3 linked regions of the Tribolium castaneum genome follow. Each later gene encodes a partner of the first gene's protein in a complex. Links are inferred from orthologs where the notes say so. Each region holds a gene or a part of one and is shown on either strand. Other genes may lie near its edges.

Region 1 (6,514 bases):
AATCTACTATTTCACATCTGTTTTAATCTACACCTTTTCCAATAGTATTTCAGAAAGTATCACAATCATGTATTTCAGAAAGAGTTATGTGTAAACATAGATAGGTATTTAATTCATCTTTTCTGAAATATGTAGACAACATCTGCTACTTTCTGAACTACAATTGGAAAAGGTGTAGTCATCTCTGAAAAAGACTGTAAAGACAGTTAATTTTAACCGTATAAATGATAATTTTCAGGTGGCGGAGTCAGTGAACCAATACTGCCAGATCGACACGTCGGCGGAGAACCCCGTGTACAGCATAAGCCCCGACCAGATCGGCATCCTCAACAACCTCAACTCCCCCATCCAGATCGCGACCCCCTCCGTGAGCAGTACGAAGCCAGCGACGAAGAAATACAAGCGTTCAAACAGCAACACCAAAGCACAAACGACGGTACAAAACGCGACCTCGACGAGCAACGGCGTCCGCAAAGAGCGCTCGTTGCACTACTGCAGCATCTGCTCGAAGGGCTTCAAGGACAAGTACTCGGTGAACGTCCACATCCGGACGCACACGGGGGAGAAGCCCTTCGCGTGCAGTCTCTGCGGGAAAAGTTTTAGGCAGAAGGCCCACTTGGCCAAGCACTACCAGACGCACATAGCGCAGAAGAACGCGGCGGCGGCGGGGAACGTCGCCGCCGCCAAGGCCAAGTCGAGGTAGCTTGCTGGGGGCGGCGGAATGGTCCACATTCGTACCTAAATTATTTATTTATTTATTCGTCGGCCGGCGACATTCCGCCAACGCACAAATTTCTCTCGATGAACAGCAACGAAAACACATTTTTGATGCTACTTTGCCAAGTTTTGTTCCTAGCATTGTTTTGTTTTGTTAATTTTTTTATTATATTGTACTCATGTGCTGTGATTATGTGAAATTTATTTTCAAAAGAGATCGGAATTTTTGTGTATTTATTTTTTATCGAATCTGCCTAAAATTTCTTGCCATTTCTGTATTATCGCGTACTTGATAAAATTTAGAATTTTTTAATTTATTTATCGTATGATTAGTTTCTTTGTTACTCGCAGTGTGGAATCTACAATTGTTTGTTTTTTCTGTTCAGTTTTTTTCCTAATAATTAAAAGTATTATCGTTCCACTCTGCTCTAGGTTACTCCGCAGTGCTTCAACGAAGCATTTAATTTAGTTTCAGATGCTTTTAGTTTAATGCTAGCGCTTAGTGATTAGGAAGAAAAAACTTCAGTTTACCATATGTCAAGGCATTATATGACCTTTTTACCTTATAATACTCACTTTGTAAAATAAAAATGTTTATTGTATATTGATTAAATAGTATAATTTGTTGTACACATTACAAATGTGAGTACAAATGCGACCGAGTCGCGTCATTTGTTATTTTCTAATCCTTACCATCTTACAATTGTTGTCTATGTTATAAATGTTTACGTAATGTTACAATTGTTTTGTAAATCGATCATACTTAATGCTCTTGTTTACTAATTTTTGTATTATAATCAGTATTTGTTGATGTTTTTTGTAAATGTTCGTAATTCTTATTTATGACAGTTTGCCATGGTAAAGGGATTTATATTATTATTATGTTTTTTGTTCTATTTTGGATCTCATTCAATTTAGTTTTTTTTGCTTGCTTCTTTGGCCCATAACTGCCAACTTTTTTCCAACTGTGTTCTCTCTGAAAGACAATACTCAAATAGACTACATATACGTACGAAAAATATGTACATCCAGACACTTTATATAAACTTTTTTGTTTATATTCGCCATAGAACATGTTTTATACTCAGATTACGTTATGTATAGTTATATCAGATTTTATCTCCTCTTTATTATTGATTTTATAAAGTATTTTTATACCTAGATTCATATATTTACATTTTATAACTTTATTATATAATTGTGAATTTATTACAAATAAACATTATTTAAAACAAATGAGTTTAACCCGACCCCCAAACCCATCCCAAACGATACGCCATTGGCACAAACAAACCGTCATTCGGTCCAACAACAAAATAGCATTAATTACCTAATTGGACAAAACAATAATTTAGAATTAATGCCAGAAACCGACAAATGCGGTAAATTAATACCTTTACCGCTCATAAATAAAAAAAATCAAAAAACCAAATTTTATGTAATTGTCACCAGGTGGCGGTTGCGTAACTTTTTGACATTTGACAACAATCACAAAATAAAATGTTTAAAAAACGCTAAAATCGGTTAATTACCACATAAACACGATGGCTGCAGTGTTGAAAAAACGCGCTTTGGCCGAATTCACCCAAACAATCCAGGTATGGGCTAAATTTCCCTTTGTCCAAAATGAGGTTATGTTTACATATTCCAGGAAACTGTTCCTTTCCAACCGATTAAAAAACTCAAACTTGTCAAGAAGCCTTCCACAGGCACCGGGAACTCGTCTTTGGCACTTATTAGTTGTCTTGAAGGTTGCAAAAGCAGTAGCGAAGCCCTACGAACTTTGCTTCGTGTCTCTGATACTTTCGAGCTTGAGGCTTCAGATATTCCCGAAGCAGTTAAAAAACTGAGCGATCATTTTAAGAATGAGCCAGAGTCGGCCGTTAGAGTAAAAATTTTGTCACTTTTGTGCGACATTGGGCATCTACCCAACGCTGATGTTGTGTCCATTATTGACGAGACGATTTTGTTGCTTAAAAATGACCATTCACATAAAGTTATCGCTCAGGGGATGAATACCGTGCTTAAATTAGGGAAGCTGGTCTCTGATAATGTCATCGCTTTGCATCAGAAACTGGTAGAAGTGGCGAAAAGTTACTTGAAAGATGTCAGTCATGCTGTCAAGAGGAAATGTCTAGAGATCATTGGCGTGCATACGCCGGTTTGTACGGGGGCAGAGGCGGAGAAATTAATGGTTTTGATTAGTTCGTACTTTAACCACGACGACGCCAGGGTGCGTAGTCAGGCTTTTTCGACGATTATCACCCTACATGAGCGCAATTTTAAAATAAATCCGGACATTTATATAGATGTTTGCGATGCCTTAAAGGACGACTACGAAATTGTCCGTCAAGTCGTTCTCAAGTTAGTGTGTCTTTTGGGCAACACGTTTCCGGAAAAGTAGGCTTAGCCTAAACCCTCTCTTCTATTTACATTTAATTGAAAAAATTTCAGTGAGGTTGTACTTCCGGGAAGTGAACACGAAATCCGTCTCATAGACGACGCTTTCGGTAAAGTTTGCAACTCGATTTCTGATTTATCAATCCATGTTCGAACCTTGGCGGCTAAACTATTGGGAACGATGAAACAAGTCAGTGCGAAATTTCTCAACCAAACTCTTGATAAAAAATTAATGTCTAATATGAGGCGCAAAAGGACGGCTCATGAGTTGGCTTGGGAAAATGTAACGAGTGGAGAATGGGCGAGTGGGAAAAAATGGGCCGATGACGCCCCCAGGGAAATCCTCGACGCTGACAGCATCAATTTGATGAGCAGTGGGGCGTGTGGGGCCTTCGTGCACGGCTTGGAGGACGAGTTTATGGGTAAATGACGAGGCAAAGCCGAGTGTCATAATTTTTATCTACAATTATCTACTTTTTTTTGACTTATTGGTAATAATACAGTTGTGGACTTTTAGGTAGTGGTAAAGAACTTTAGATCAATTTTTTTTTAATTTCTTTGATCATTAAGCAGATATCTGTTAAAAAAAATCATCAATTATGTGCCAATTAGTGTATTATGGTATTTAAAAAATTTAATAAGCTCACAAATTAGATAGTAAATTAAATTTGACATCATTGGGAATAAAAGAACAATGAATGAAACTGTTCCTAAGGAAAACAAATAGAAAATATACAGGATGGTTCAGTGAAGACAGTTCACCCAAGTTTTCGATGTTTGGACTCGATTTTTACAATTTATGGGGTTCATAAAGACTAAAAAAATTATGGCCATTTAGAACATTCAAATAAATAATTTAATAAATAAACTGTAATTAAAAAAAAGAAATTTTTAGAAAACTTATACCAAATAAAAAAAATAACACTTGGTGGAAGTGCGGGCAAGACGGGGTATGAGCTTTAAATAATAAACTAATTGACTAATAATCATTTTTTGTACGTGGCGAAGCCCAGTTAAGACAGCTTTTAATTGTAGATTTTTAATTGAACGATACCACCATGCCTTTTGCGAGTTTTATGAAAAAAACCTGTTTTTGGCGATTTTCTTATGATTTTTTTCACTTTCTTTAGTACGTGTCTGTTTTGTTAATAACAAAATTTCAAATTGCTTTTATGGTTATTCATATGTCAATGATTTTTCTAACAGGTTAACATCTATTTATTTGTAGATGACAACATAGTTTTTGGAAGTTAATTTTCTAACACAATTTGCCGTAAGAGGGCAAGACGGGCTGAGACCTTGCTCGTAACAGTAATATGTAAAACTCCTCTCTTCATAAAAAACCTTAAACCATAACAAAGTTTGGAAAATAAGCAAAAGAATAAAAATTACAGAGCTAAAGGAAAACTGAAAAATCTGGGGTTGATAAAAAGAGTGTTCAAAAAGAAAAAGATTTTAAGATTAGACCATCAATCGAGAGCAACAGTGAAATTGAAATTAGGGGTACCCCATCTTACCCACAAGGACTTTTTCTACTTTGTTTCACTTTTATATTTAATAAAGGTTCCAAATAAAACTTATTAATCACAAAAAACTAATTACCAAGGATAATTAATAATACAAAAATTTTATAGAGCTTCAAACGTTAAGTACCCCGTCTTGCCCGCACTTTCCCTATTGTAAAGAGGTTTTAATAGATTTTAAAATAACATCATAATTAACCCCTGTTTCCATTAAAAAAATATATAATTACAGGCAGCCCCTCTTTGGGGGTTGAAGTGGTACGAACACAAAGTAAATATTTAAGTGTCCCCCTTGGATATAAAATCGCACTGTCTTAGCGTTTTGAGTTAAGTGACTCCAAACGTTAAAAATTTGGGTGTATTGGTTTCAGTGGGCCACCCTATATATTAAATATTAAAAATCAAGTTGCTTGAAAAAAAAACATTTTTAAACTTTACTGAATATCTCCTATCAATATCACCATACGAAAGTTAGTCCGACACTTTTGAATCATCCTGTATTGTACTAATGATTGATTAATATTTATCAGAGGTGCGTTCCGCCGCCGTCGAATCACTCTGCGAGCTCTCCATTCGCAACCCCCAATTCGCAAATTTATCCCTCGACTTCCTGGTCGATATGTTCAACGACGAAATCGAGGATGTGAGACTCAAAGCCATTGATAGTTTACGCCGAATATCCGAACACATTATTCTAAGAGACGACCAGTTGGAGACCATCTTAGGGGCCCTTGAGGACTTTTCGCAGGATGTCCGAGAGGGCCTCCACCACATGTTGGCATCGTGTAAAATGTCAACAACAGCCGGGCTCAAAATGTGCGTTGAAAAACTATTAGATAATCTCAAAAAATATCCGCAAGATAAGCGATCGACCTATCGGTGTTTACAACGGGTGGGGGCACAGCACCCCGAATTGGTGCTCCCTCTAGTGCCACAATTGTTAAACATACACCCGTTTTTCGATACTGCTGAACCGGACGTGGAAAATCCGCAATGTATGGGCTTAAGCAAATTTTTACGTTATCCGGATTAAACATTTTTTTGCAGATATTTGCGTCCTGATTTTGATTTTAAATGCGGCAAAGTTTTCACCTACTATAATCCCACTTCTGGAACCCCACACCTTACGTCATTATGCGTACATAAGTGACACAATGCCGTCCCTAGTTCCGGTTTTAAGTCTCCCGGAATCGAGTTGTAACACAATTAGCAGACCACAAACGGTCCCGGAAAGTCTGGAGTTTCTTAACAATGTTATAAGCAACTTAGATTTGGCCGAAAATACATTACGGTGAGGCACAAGCTTGGCAAGTCTGTTACTAATTGTAAAATTTATTTTTAGAGTTCAGACGACACTTTTACAAACCGCTAAAGAACACTTGAACCGTTTGAGTGAAATTGACTCGTCGGTCGCAGGGACGGCTCAATTCACATCGCTTTACATTGGGGCCCAATTAATAATGTCCCAGATATTGGAAAAGGGTTATTGGTTAAACCCGGGTACTTTGGCCACCCAACAGGCCAACAACCTCAAAACTAACATAACAAACCTTCTGGAGTATTGTCTCAAGTTGCAGTTTTTCTTCGTAGGGCTTAGCCCTGTGGAGGAATGTGCCGTGAAAATGTTCCGCCTGCGGGCCCTAGCCCTTAATTTAGTCTACATAGTTAAAGGGAGCAACTCCTCAGCTTTAGCCCCCTGCCACCACTTCCTCACCATCGTCGAAGACATGCAGAGGGACCTACAAGTTGCAGGTCTAGACCCTGACGCGTTCACGTCAGCCGTTTTCAAAGAACTATCAGTCTTGGAGGAACCCAAACCGGGAACAGTGTCCCGAATTTTAATCCCGATCCTCTCGGAAGCCCGATTGGGTAAA
Region 2 (5,836 bases), on another chromosome or scaffold:
AACTAAAAGGCCATAATTTTATTTTTAAAAAACGTCTTTTTTATTGTTGAATTGGTGGTCAAAAGGGCATTGTGTGACAAAACCGATTTTGGGGTGAAATGGGGCGAAAACTGCAACAGTGCATTTGCGGAGCTGGGCAACATAACAATTTTTAACATTGTTCCGACAACTAAAAGGCCATAATTTTATTTTTAAAAAACGTCTTTTTTATTGTTGAATTAGTGGTCAAAAGGGCATTGTGTGACAAAACCGATTTCGGGGTGAAATGGGGCGAAAACTGCAACAGTGCATTTGCGGAGCTGGGCAACATAACAATTTTTAACATTGTTCCGACAACTAAAAGGCCATAATTTTATTTTTAAAAAACGTCTTTTTTATTGTTGAATTGGTGGTCAAAAGGGCATTGTGTGACAAAACCGATTTCGGGGTGAAATGGGGCGAAAACTACAATAATGCATTTGCGGAGCTGAACAACATAACAATTTTTAACATTGTTCCGACAACTAAAAGGCCATAATTTTATTTTTAAAAAACGTCTTTTTTATTGTTGAATTGGTGGTCAAAAGGGCATTGTGTGACAAAACCGATTTCGGGGTGAAATGGGGCGAAAACTACAATAATGCATTTGCGGAGCTGAACAACATAACAATTTTTAACATTGTTCCGACAACTAAAAGGCCATAATTTTATTTTTAAAAAACGTCTTTTTTATTGTTGAATTGGTGGTCAAAAGGGCATTGTGTGACAAAACCGATTTTGGGGTGAAATGGGGCGAAAACTGCAACAGTGCATTTGCGGAGCTGGGCAACATAACAATTTTTAACATTGTTCCGACAACTAAAAGGCCATAATTTTATTTTTAAAAAACGTCTTTTTTATTGTTGAATTAGTGGTCAAAAGGGCATTGTGTGACAAAACCGATTTCGGGGTGAAATGGGGCGAAAACTGCAACAGTGCATTTGCGGAGCTGGGCAACATAACAATTTTTAACATTGTTCCGACAACTAAAAGGCCATAATTTTATTTTTAAAAAACGTCTTTTTTATTGTTGAATTGGTGGTCAAAAGGGCATTGTGTGACAAAACCGATTTCGGGGTGAAATGGGGCGAAAACTACAATAATGCATTTGCGGAGCTGAACAACATAACAATTTTTAACATTGTTCCGACAACTAAAAGGCCATAATTTTATTTTTAAAAAACGTCTTTTTTATTGTTGAATTGGTGGTCAAAAGGGCATTGTGTGACAAAACCGATTTTGGGGTGAAATGGGGCGAAAACTGCAACAGTGCATTTGCGGAGCTGGGCAACATAACAATTTTTAACATTGTTCCGACAACTAAAAGGCCATAATTTTATTTTTAAAAAACGTCTTTTTTATTGTTGAATTAGTGGTCAAAAGGGCATTGTGTGACAAAACCGATTTCGGGGTGAAATGGGGCGAAAACTACAATAATGCATTTGCGGAGCCATAAATATTGAAATTAGGTGAAAAAGTGGGAAAAATTAAAAAGCAATTTGTGGTAAATAATTGAGTTTTTCGCTATTAGCATAGTGACTTTCTTAAAATGTCATTTTTAAGAGGGTGTTTAGTGTTTTTTCGGATTTTTATTTTATTAAACGGTTTCAAAGCTGACAACCAAACATACATCTAAGCAAACTGAAACTTATTTTGCTAGTCTGAAACTGGCTTCATGTTCGGGTCTCTTCGGAAATTCGAGGAGCTGGTTTTGGGAGCTGTCTTCACACAAATCAAAACCTGTTAGTCTGTGCACCAACACCATAGAATAAGAGAGAGATGGTTATTGAAAAATGGTTGGTGCAACTGGCAACTTATCTCTTATCTGTCAAAATTTTTTTCTTGTTTTGACTGCGAAAAAACCAAAATTGTTGCATTGTTTGTGATAATTGGTCCACCATGGATCGGAATAAACCGGGCCAGAGCCAAGCCACTCGTGGCCCCAAGGCCAAAATAACGCAACAACCCCCTGACTTGTTCATCGCTTTGGGGGCCAAACAATCCTCCCCTCGAGATGACCCCAAACGTAGCGTTCCGCTCCCTAAAACCAGCACTGCCTCCCATTTACAAACAAGTAGCAGTAAAGTGACGGATAAATTGAAGCGTGAAGGGACTTCGTCTAGTCTTACAGTGCCCCCTTCGAAGAAAATGAAAGTTGCGATACCGGGAAGCCGGCCAGGGCCCTCCACTAGCAGCATACTACCTGTGGAGAGGATGGGGGTTGAGCCGTGGGAAGCCCTGGCTGTGGACTGTGAGACAAGCGATTTGTTCGAGAGTATTATGGCGGCTGTTAATGCCGGCAATACTGATAAAGCTGTAATTTTTTCTTGATTGTGTTTAGGGGTGAAATTAATTGGTTGCTTCAGGTTGGGTATGTTTTGGGGGTCATTCGCTCGTTGAAGACTCAAAGGACTAAGATTTGTAAAGTGGTTTATCTGAGTCTTTTACTGACTTGCAGCTGCAAACCCCAGTTATTCACTAATGAGAATATCATAGCGGCTATTGTGAATGTTCTGCGGCGTGATGTAACTTCCGGTTTTAAGGGCGTTAACAAAACAAATTCTTACTTCCACATGCTGTTTATTAATTTATTAACTCACGCCTTCACCGATGTCGCCCAATGGCCGGAAATTTTCGTCAAAGTAAGTCGGAAAAAAAATTAAAAATGTTTCAGAATCACAATTATTCGTAGATTTATGTGGAGGACGCGGTGGCCGATCGCATTTTTATCGACAATCCGTACTGTAAACCATTCGTTGATAACATAATCACGGCGTTTAACACCAAATTGCCCCCTTCCTCGCTCCTCAAATCCGAGACATGGAATTCCACGGCTAGAGACACTTCTAGCCCCCTCACAATCACAAGCGCTGACGACGACACCAAAAGCGAAGTGATTCTCGAGCATAAAGCCGCAGTTGAAAACTGGAACGTCAAAGTGTATCCCCGGTTCACCCAAACGCAGGAAAACGTCGAAAAAATCGTCCTTGAAGCCATCAAGGAACAACTAGCAAGGCGCCAACAACCGGAAACCATCACGAAAAACTTCGTCCGCTTCTTGAGTATCGCTTCAGGACTTGTGGAAATTCGCATAATTGCCGTTTCGCGCATCGAGAGTTGGCTACACAACCATAAGTTGATGAAATCAGCGCAGGAACTCCTCGCCTATTTGTGCTACAATTGCTCGGCGAGTTCGCAAAGAGACTTGGAAATAATAGCGCAGCTGAGCAAGCTCAGACTGAAGAACAAACCCATGGTTAACTACTTCAACAACTGTCTCCGGGAGATGGTTTACTCGTTCCCGGAGAACTTGTACCCCCTTTTGAAATACACGATTTACAACGAACTGTCCAATGCCCGAAATTCCAACAATTTAATCGTCGTGGGGGCCCTGTTTCAGGTCGCACCTGAGGCAAGTGCCGACGCTTTCGCCGACATTTGCCTGGTGAGTACACCGATAATCAAAAACAAATTGCATTAAAACTGTCCCCAGGAGTTGCTCCTAAACAAAGACGATTATTTGCGTTCGCTGCGGGCGCTTTTGAAAGAAATCACCCGAGTCCTCCGGCACGATTTCAACTTGTTAAGCATCGTGCATTCGCTCGTTCGCGAGCGCAAAGAGTTTGCGAATAACGTGCGCGAGTCGGAATTTCGCGAGCGAATTTTTCTATCACTGGCCGACCTGGTCTGCATGTGTATGCTGCTGTGCGTCAGCCCTCAGGTCCGCGACGCCTCAACGCAAAACAAACGCGACGTCACGGTCCTGAAAGCCTTCCAGAAACAAGTCAGTAACATACAGCGGGAGGCAGTGACTTGGCTCAACGACTCCGCGCTAAGGGTTTTCCGGCCAAGTCTCAACGACTTCCACCACGTTCTACTCAAAGTCTTGTTCCTCGAACAAGCGGAGCATTACTACAAGGTCGACTCGTGGCCTGGCGAAAACGAGAGGAACTTGTTTTTGAGGCTTACGAGTGAGGTTCCCTTGCTTCAGGCGACTCTTTTGAGGATTTTGCTGATCGGGAACTCGAAAGAACACCCGATTAGTCCCACGGAAGCGATTGAAATTAGCGATCAGTTGATTAGAAGGGCGGCGAATTTGCCCCAAGACTGCGCCCCGCCCTTGGTCGTTGATAATTTGGAGATAATCGGGATTTATTTCAACTTGTGCAGCTATAATTATCCGGAGAATATCACGCTGCCGGCGGGGTATGTGCCCCCCAGTTTGGCCATTTCTGGGCTCTATTGGAAAGTTTGGCTCATTTTGCTGATCATAGCGGCTCATAATCCGGTCACTTTTGGGAACGAGGTCTGGAACAAATACCCAACGTTGCGCATGTTCATGGAAATGTGCATAACAAAGTTAGTATCTCTTGAAGGTCAGGATATGAAACGACGTACAAATAAAACCGTTGTTCCATCACAGTCAGCTCAACTTTTCTACATTTTTTTCCAAATAATTTGTGAATTTTTACTATATTTTTTGAGTGCGATTTTGTATCTCGTTTCGCTCCGACCTCCAATCCCCGTATACTTGACCCTAACTATCCCCATTTTAGTCACTTTTCGTTTCCCCCGCCCACCATGACCTCCCTGGACGAAGACTACCAGTCCCGCGAGCAGCAAATCCTCGCCCTTGAGAAGCAAAAAATCCTGGAATTTGAATCACACCTCGCGGCCGCGAGCACTAAAATGGAAATCACCGAACAGAGCAGTCTCCTATTGCCCCAATTAATGGAGTTGCGGCCTGAGGGCGAAGCCCGAAGGCCCCCCCAAGCCGTCCTCGACCAGCTCCAACACTTGAACAACACGCATCGCATGGGACATTTATTGTGCCGCTCGCGGAACCCCGATTTTCTATTGGACATTATGTCGCGGCAAGGGGGCACCGCGCATATGCCGTGGCTGGCCGAGCTGGTGCACAATTCGGAGGGGGCGTTGGCCCACCTGCCTGTGCAATGTCTGTGCGAGTATCTCCTGTCGACGACACCGACGGAGAAATTGACGAAACATGGCCAGCTTTTGGCGCATTTGCGGACGGTGGTTAATGAGAATGATCCGCAGACTGCCTGTGAGGTTTTGGAGTATTTGTTCAGGCGGTTGACGTCCGATCATGGGGCGAGTCGGACGCAGGCCACCAAAGGCTTGAATTTGATTTTGGCCGAAGGGGAGGAAAGCGAGACGAATAATACGAACTGGTTGACGAGTTACATAACACATTTTCCACACTTTACGATGATTAAACCAGTGCTTATACAGTTTTTGCGGCAAGCCTTGCAAATTGAGACAAATCCGGCGCGGGTTTCGAGTTATATCAATTTTTTGGCAACGCAGGATTGTAACGATTCGTTTACGGAACTGCACGAATTAATCGCCGATTTATCGTCGGTTATTATCGAGAGACACAGCGTGGCTTCGTACGTGTTGCCAGGGCCGGACAACCAAACTTTGAAGCACCTTTTGACCATTTTTGCGAGTCATATTCAGAAAGCGCAGGAATTCTCGGAGGATATTTACAGTTCGGTGCAAAACTACAGCGAGTATGTTTTGGTGACTTGGGTGACTGGGGAACAATGCCACATGCAGACTTTAGTAATACACGCAGCTATTGTGTTACTGACTTACGGTCCTTTGGAGAATTTTGAGCCGTTCGAGACTTTGTTAAATTTTTGGTTTCCGGCGAACGCCGAACAACCACAAGCCTACACACCTGATACAAACGAACGAACGTCGTATCTCCCTGATTGGATGAAACTGCGGATGATTCGGTCAAACGTCCCACGATTGGTTGACGCAGCCATTGAAAAATTAGAGCCGCCAA
Region 3 (5,853 bases), on another chromosome or scaffold:
TTGGGTTGTTTTGTTGAAAATTCGGTAGGTTCGAAAAGTAGGGTTATGTTGTTACCCGATAATGACAAAATTTACACTTTTATCCATTTCTGCCTTTTCAGAGCGTTGTGATAGGATATTTAGGGCAGAAAAATCTACCTTGCGTCAAAAATTTATGTGCTATTGCCAGATAGAGACAAAAGTTCAGAAAGCAGGGTTATGTTCTCTTCTAAAGTGTTAAATTATAACTTTAATGGATTTTGTGTGCTTTTCGGCACTTTTAGAGCGTTATTCATTATTACTGAATATGTTGTGGGCAGACAAATCTACCTTGAGTCAACGACATAAACTTCAGTGAGATTGAAATGTATAAAGGGCAAAAATGAACTTTTCGTGTTAAACATTTTGATAAAAAAGGGCGTTTAATTGTTTATAAAGGGTGTGTTAACGAGTGTTAAGTTTACCAGGTAATAAAACATAATGTACAACAACTTTTCTATAAAAGCATTTTGCAAAATTTTTATTCATTATTTTCACTATTTTTCTCATTTCCTTTGTACAAACGAACCTGTGATATGAAATTTTGGTGTCAAAATTAGTAGTATCGCCACAAGTTGTGTTTTTAAATCTCCAGAAAATTCAGTTTTAAAAGTGAGGTTATGTTATCATTTGGAAATATGAAATCTTTCACTATTATGGATTTTGTGTCTGTTTCTGCTCTTTTAGAACGTTATTAATTATTATTAAATTGAATTGAAAGGCAGATAAATCTACCTTTGAGTCAATGATATAAACTTCAGTGTGATTTATTGAAATGTATATAGGGCACAAATAAACTTTTCGTGTTAAACATTTTGATTAAAAAGGGTATTTAATCGTTTATAAAGGGCATGTTAAGGTGTGTTAAGTTTACCACATAATAAAACATAAAGTACAACAACTTTTCTATAAAAGCATTTTGCAAAACTTTTATTCATTATTTTCACTATTTTCCTCTTTTCATTAGTACAAACGAGCCGGTGAATGAAATTTTGGTGTGAAAATTAGTGGTATTGCCACAAATTGTGTTAATTTTAGGTCTCCAGAAAATTCGGTTTTAAAAGTAGGGTTATGTTATCATTTGGAAATGTTAAATCTTTCATTTTTATGGATTTCGTGTTCGTTTCTGCTCTTTTAGAGCGTTTTTAATTTTGATTGAATATATTATGGGCAGATAAATCTACCTTTGAGTCAACGACTTAAACTTCAGTGTGATTTATTGAAATGTATATAGGACAAAATTGAACTTTTCGTGTTAAACATTTTGATTAAAAAGGGTGTTTAATCGTTTATAAAGGGCGTGTTGACGTGTGCTAAATTTACCACGTAATAAAACATAAAGTACAACAACTTTTCTATAAGAGCATTTTGCAAAATTCTTATTCATTATTTTTACTATTTTCCTCCTTTTCTGTAATAACTCATTCGCTTTTCGGGGGCCATTCTGAATACTGTAATGAATTTTTAAAGATAAAGTTTGCGAAATATGAAAATTTTAAAGAATTTTTAAAAATTCATTAAGATCTCAAGGGGACTTTATCCGAACATGATTTTTTTACAGTCGAAGGCCCTATCGAAGGGCTTAATCCCCTGCAAAAATAAAGAAAATTGCAGGATATAAAGGGGGTGAAAAAAAACAGTTTGCGTTGCTTGAATATGAGAATAAAAAATGCAGAAATTAAATACAGGAGATGTTCTACAAATGTGAGATGCAAGTCAGCGTAACAGCTTATTGATGTTTTTATAATGATTTACAATTATTTTGATAATTTGCCTGGTGTGAACTTGGCTGTAGAAAACGAGAATAGTGGGGACATGGTGCTAGCTCCATGCACGCAGCGATTGTCTGGTCGACTGTAATGTTCTTGGTGCCAGCACCATTTTTTTCTCTCTTATTCTATGTTCCCAACATAGGTTAAACTAACCTAAAAACTATGCTAAAAACACCAAAAAATAAAAGTTTGGATGTTGAACGCGTTTATTGATTTTGTGACATGAATGCCGATGTGGCCCCCACTTTGTAATTTTCTCACGAGTTGATGACCCAACTGGCGTGAAATATTTCACCCGTAAGATTAAAAAAATTCCAGGTTATATTTGTTTTGCCTACTAACAACATTCCAGCGATTTTCCAAAATGCTGAGCGTCCGCGTGAGTGCCTTCAATGAAAACGGTCTCGGAGAGCCCGAGCAAGACGCCAATTCGGCTTTAACCGAGCTTGACAAAGGTTCAAAGCGCGGTATTGAGTGCCTTCTTTAAAAGTGTCTTTTTAGGGCTCCGGTCCGGTAAAGTGGGCGAGCAATGCGAAGCAATTGTTCGTTTTCCAAAGTTATTCGAAAAATATCCTTTCCCCATCCTCATCAATGCGTCATTACTGAAATTAGCGGAAGTTTTTCGCATGGGGTACAACTCTCTACTGTAAATAACTCTATTTAATGGCACTGTTTTTAGTAACAATTTCCTAAGACTGTGCGTGTTGCGTGTGTGCCAACAAAGCGAAAAACATCTAGATAAGATTTCGAGTGTTGATGAGTTCGTTAGAAGGATTTACAGTGTGATTCATAGTAATGACCCTATTGCTCGTGCTGTGACGCTGAGGACGTTTGGGGCCGTGGCTGCCATCATTCCGGAGCGACAGCAAGTGCACCACAGTATTAGAAGCAGTCTAGATTCTCACGATAATGTGGAAGTCCAAGCTGCAATTTACGCCGCTATTCAGTTTGCCGCCCAATCAAAGTAGTAAAAGTTGCTCAGAATTCATTATTTTAACAATAATTTGTAGAACATTCGCCGTAAGCATGTGCAACAAAGTCTCTGACATGATCCAAGGCCAGTCAACGCCTGCCAGCATGAAATTACAATTAATCCCAATTTTACAATACATGCACCATGATACCAACACGGCTGCGATGGTGAGGACACTCTGTATCGATTTACTGCCAAGTTATCCAGCCAAAGACTTCGTTTTGGTCACTCTAAACACACTTACCCAGTTGGCAACGGCGACTCTAGTTGACGTCCCGAGTCAAGTAATTTCATTAATTTGTCTTCCAATATTCTCCAAAACTGTCTTTTAGGTCAATTTACTGTTGCAATATTTACGCAAAGACTTGGGGAGTGAAGTCAAGTCGAGATGTTTGCAATTTTTGTACCAGTTCGCCAAACCGGGGGCTCATTTGTGGCCCCCGGGGGCCACCAACAATATCATAGATTTTACTTTACACACGCATCAAGCCCGGTTATTAACCCTGGCTCTTGGTAAGACGATTTGAGGTCTTGTTTTGCAAACTGATTAATTGATGATTAGGTGTGATTCAAGTCTTGACTGAATCGCCCCGAATGTGTCATGATTATCGCGACAGCAATTCAAAATTGAGAGAATTGTGTATGAAACATTGTTATTCGTCACAGCCTACAGTCGCAGTGCAAGCTATACAAATTTTGACACAACTTTTATGCTACTGGTGAGTTTTCTCATAGGTACGGAGGGCAAAACTAAGGGGCGAAATGATGTTTAAAATCGTTGTCTTAAATTATTTGATGCGGGAATGTTAAGACTTAATTTTTTAGCAAGCTGTGAAACAAATAAAATTTGCCCAAACAAGAGATTTTTTTAATTTGAAATTTGTTCCATATTTATTTCAGTATCGAATTCGCCGTAATTTATTTATTAATAATTATAGAATTATAGAAGTTTTTTGAAGCTAAGGAGATGATAAATCTATAAATAAAAAATAAAATAAGTACAAGGTGTTAATAATACCATATACAGTGTGATTTTTAAAAAACGAGCTGCCCTGAGTATCAGAAAATAAACAAAAAATTAAAACATCCCGAGACAGGTCAATTTTTATTTAACCAGAGACACCTTTTAGTGTTTTATTTGACTCACTTTGACTTTTCAGCTTGATTTTAATTATGTTAATTAGCGTTTTCATACAAATTATAAAACTAATAAATTCAAATGATCACATGGTACAGACAACTCTTCAAAATACCTCAAATAAAGGTATTTTCAACTCTTATTAGAGATTGGAAATGTGCCATTAAATTTTTAGATAATAATGTAATCTTTCTAAAAAGAAAAAACTAAAGACTGACCCCTAAATCCGGATTGTTTCCTTTTTTTCTCCCTTGAAATCCTATCCAGTAGCATACACTAACCACAATCAACACACACTAGCCAACGAATTGTGTAAGAATATGGATAACACGTTACCAGTACAAAATATACTATTTGAGATAACTAATTATTACGAGGTGGAAAACAAAGAAGTTTGTCTGATTCACTGATTTTTGTTACGCCTACGTCACTTTTTTTTTGTTAAAACTTATTTGTTGAGCAAAAATTCCAGAGAAACCATTTTAACGAAATCTTAATAAGTATTTGTAATTACACTATTCTAATACACATTTAAAATAAAGGCAATTTTTCTGTATTTTTTTTTAATTATTTGATTCTTGCTTCAAATTAAATTGTCGTTTTATTGTGCAAAATTTTAAAACTGACTTTTACACCTGTCGCCCCCTAATAGTTTAGTCCTCCGTTACCCAGGAAGAACAAAAAACAGTCGTATTTTTAGCTACAAGGAGAAACTGGAGACTGAAAGAGCGGACGAAGTGATTTCGGCCCTCGAAACTTTAATTTTGCTTTTGACTTTTTCGAACGACAAACACCCAAAACAGCTCAAGCTGGCACTGAAATGTGCTGTTCGACTGTGCGAAGCGCGGAGAGAATATTGCGAGACGTTTGTGGAACTGCTCGGCACTCGCCTCGACAACATACACAGTATGTTATTTCAATTATGGTTCAAGAACAAATCAAATCGATTTTTTACAGACGACTGTACCATCGTCATCTGTGAGACTTTGGGGGCTATTGGGGGCCTCAAACCCGACACTTTACTCTCGCTTCTCGCCAGTATTCTCAACTTATTGCGCGCTTTATCCGAAATCGACCAACCAACGGAGCAACAAACGCGCATCAAAATCATGCTTTGTACGCTGGTTTTCCAAAGCATGTCTGACTACACCTGGAACGAAGAAACCGAAAGTGCGATTTTTTGCGTTATTGAAAATAACAATCTGTGGGCGAATTATTGCATAGCGCGGGCTGCGGTCAGATACGGCCACCACAAAATCGCAAATACGATTTTCAACCAACTGACGGAACAAGTCAGTTCTGAACATTTCCATTTCTGGTTGGTTTGTTTGAAGGAAATGTCGGAAGCCGAGTCGTTTTTACTCACTTCGGACGATAGTTTGGTAAATCGCTTGGAACGGGCGATCATACATTACAATAAAGCCATCGCGGCTTTGAAGGTTCCTGTTTTACCGACTTTTGGTTTGTGATTGTTACGCACTGTTTCAGGCGGCTAGTACCCCCTCACATAATTTACAATTCCAAGCGGAGTATATGCGAATCCGTACAGAGTTTCTCCAGTCTTTGATCCAACTCATTTATACTTGCAACACCCTGTGTATAGTCCCGCCGCCTGCGATTGCCGCTACTATCGTCCAAAACACGCGAGATGAGTATCAAAGACACGGATATATCACGAATCAGTTGAGAAAGTGTGTGAAAGAGTTTAAAAATTGTGGCGACCTCTACTGGAAGCTGTACCAAACTGCGTTCGACGCTGACCCTGCCACCTTAGAAAATATGCAAATGTGTGTTCGTTTGTTTTTTTCTGTACATTTAGTTATTTTTAACGTGTGTTTTTGCAGTTTGCAACAAATGTGTGTGCTTGTGGAGCAAAGCGTGGAAAGTATTTGTGTCAACGGATCAAAAATCCGTGACGATCCGATTGAATTCGGATCGCGTGAAACACGTCT

The links.
Region 2: IntS4 (region 1) and IntS1 share a complex: the UniProt entries of both Homo sapiens proteins name them as parts of the integrator complex. The link is inferred for Tribolium castaneum from reciprocal best matches to the Homo sapiens genes INTS4 and INTS1.
Region 3: the proteins of IntS4 (region 1) and defl are in contact, whole or in part, in a cryo-EM structure (PDB 8RC4), measured with the Homo sapiens proteins. The link is inferred for Tribolium castaneum from reciprocal best matches to the Homo sapiens genes INTS4 and INTS7. Residues at the interface, in NP_291025.3 of Homo sapiens: Glu536, Met539, Asp540, Arg571, His572, Ala574, Tyr575, Asp578, Ser579, Ser610, Phe613, Arg620, Leu624, Leu627, Gly631, Glu634, Leu635, Phe638, Arg641, Asp642, Arg645, Leu646, Glu648, Leu649, Gln650, Lys677, Leu678, Trp679, Asn680, Val681; in NP_056249.1 of Homo sapiens: Lys137, Asn138, His140, His141, Arg144, Gln145, Gly175, His205, His206, Asp207, Ala208, Ser244, Ser245, Leu246, Val247, Lys282, Thr283, Pro284, His285, Thr286, Thr321, Ile322, Lys325, His326, Gly686, Tyr689, Glu704, Gln707, Gln708, Leu711.

Annotation. Positions count from the first base shown.
Region 1 is NC_087398.1:12,615,325-12,621,838, forward strand, and holds the start of IntS4 (integrator complex subunit 4), read left to right. Parts: upstream 1-2,174; 5' UTR 2,175-2,261; coding exon 2,262-2,315; intron 2,316-2,368; coding exon 2,369-3,117; intron 3,118-3,171; coding exon 3,172-3,539; intron 3,540-5,170; coding exon 5,171-5,635; intron 5,636-5,687; coding exon 5,688-5,931; intron 5,932-5,982; coding exon 5,983-6,514. Other genes in the region: neurotrophin receptor-interacting factor 1, read left to right, coding at 239-703. UniProt on the Homo sapiens protein: Component of the integrator complex, a multiprotein complex that terminates RNA polymerase II (Pol II) transcription in the promoter-proximal region of genes.
Region 2 is NC_087397.1:1,926,030-1,931,865, reverse strand, and holds the start of IntS1 (integrator complex subunit 1), read left to right. Parts: upstream 1-1,875; 5' UTR 1,876-1,917; coding exon 1,918-2,334; intron 2,335-2,384; coding exon 2,385-2,660; intron 2,661-2,710; coding exon 2,711-3,463; intron 3,464-3,511; coding exon 3,512-4,377; intron 4,378-4,574; coding exon 4,575-5,836. UniProt on the Homo sapiens protein: Component of the integrator complex, a multiprotein complex that terminates RNA polymerase II (Pol II) transcription in the promoter-proximal region of genes.
Region 3 is NC_087397.1:6,154,725-6,160,577, reverse strand, and holds the start of defl (integrator complex subunit 7), read left to right. Parts: upstream 1-1,892; 5' UTR 1,893-2,087; intron 2,088-2,142; 5' UTR 2,143-2,154; coding exon 2,155-2,245; intron 2,246-2,291; coding exon 2,292-2,421; intron 2,422-2,469; coding exon 2,470-2,754; intron 2,755-2,800; coding exon 2,801-3,047; intron 3,048-3,095; coding exon 3,096-3,276; intron 3,277-3,325; coding exon 3,326-3,482; intron 3,483-4,589; coding exon 4,590-4,807; intron 4,808-4,858; coding exon 4,859-5,340; intron 5,341-5,389; coding exon 5,390-5,688; intron 5,689-5,745; coding exon 5,746-5,853. UniProt on the Homo sapiens protein: Component of the integrator complex, a multiprotein complex that terminates RNA polymerase II (Pol II) transcription in the promoter-proximal region of genes.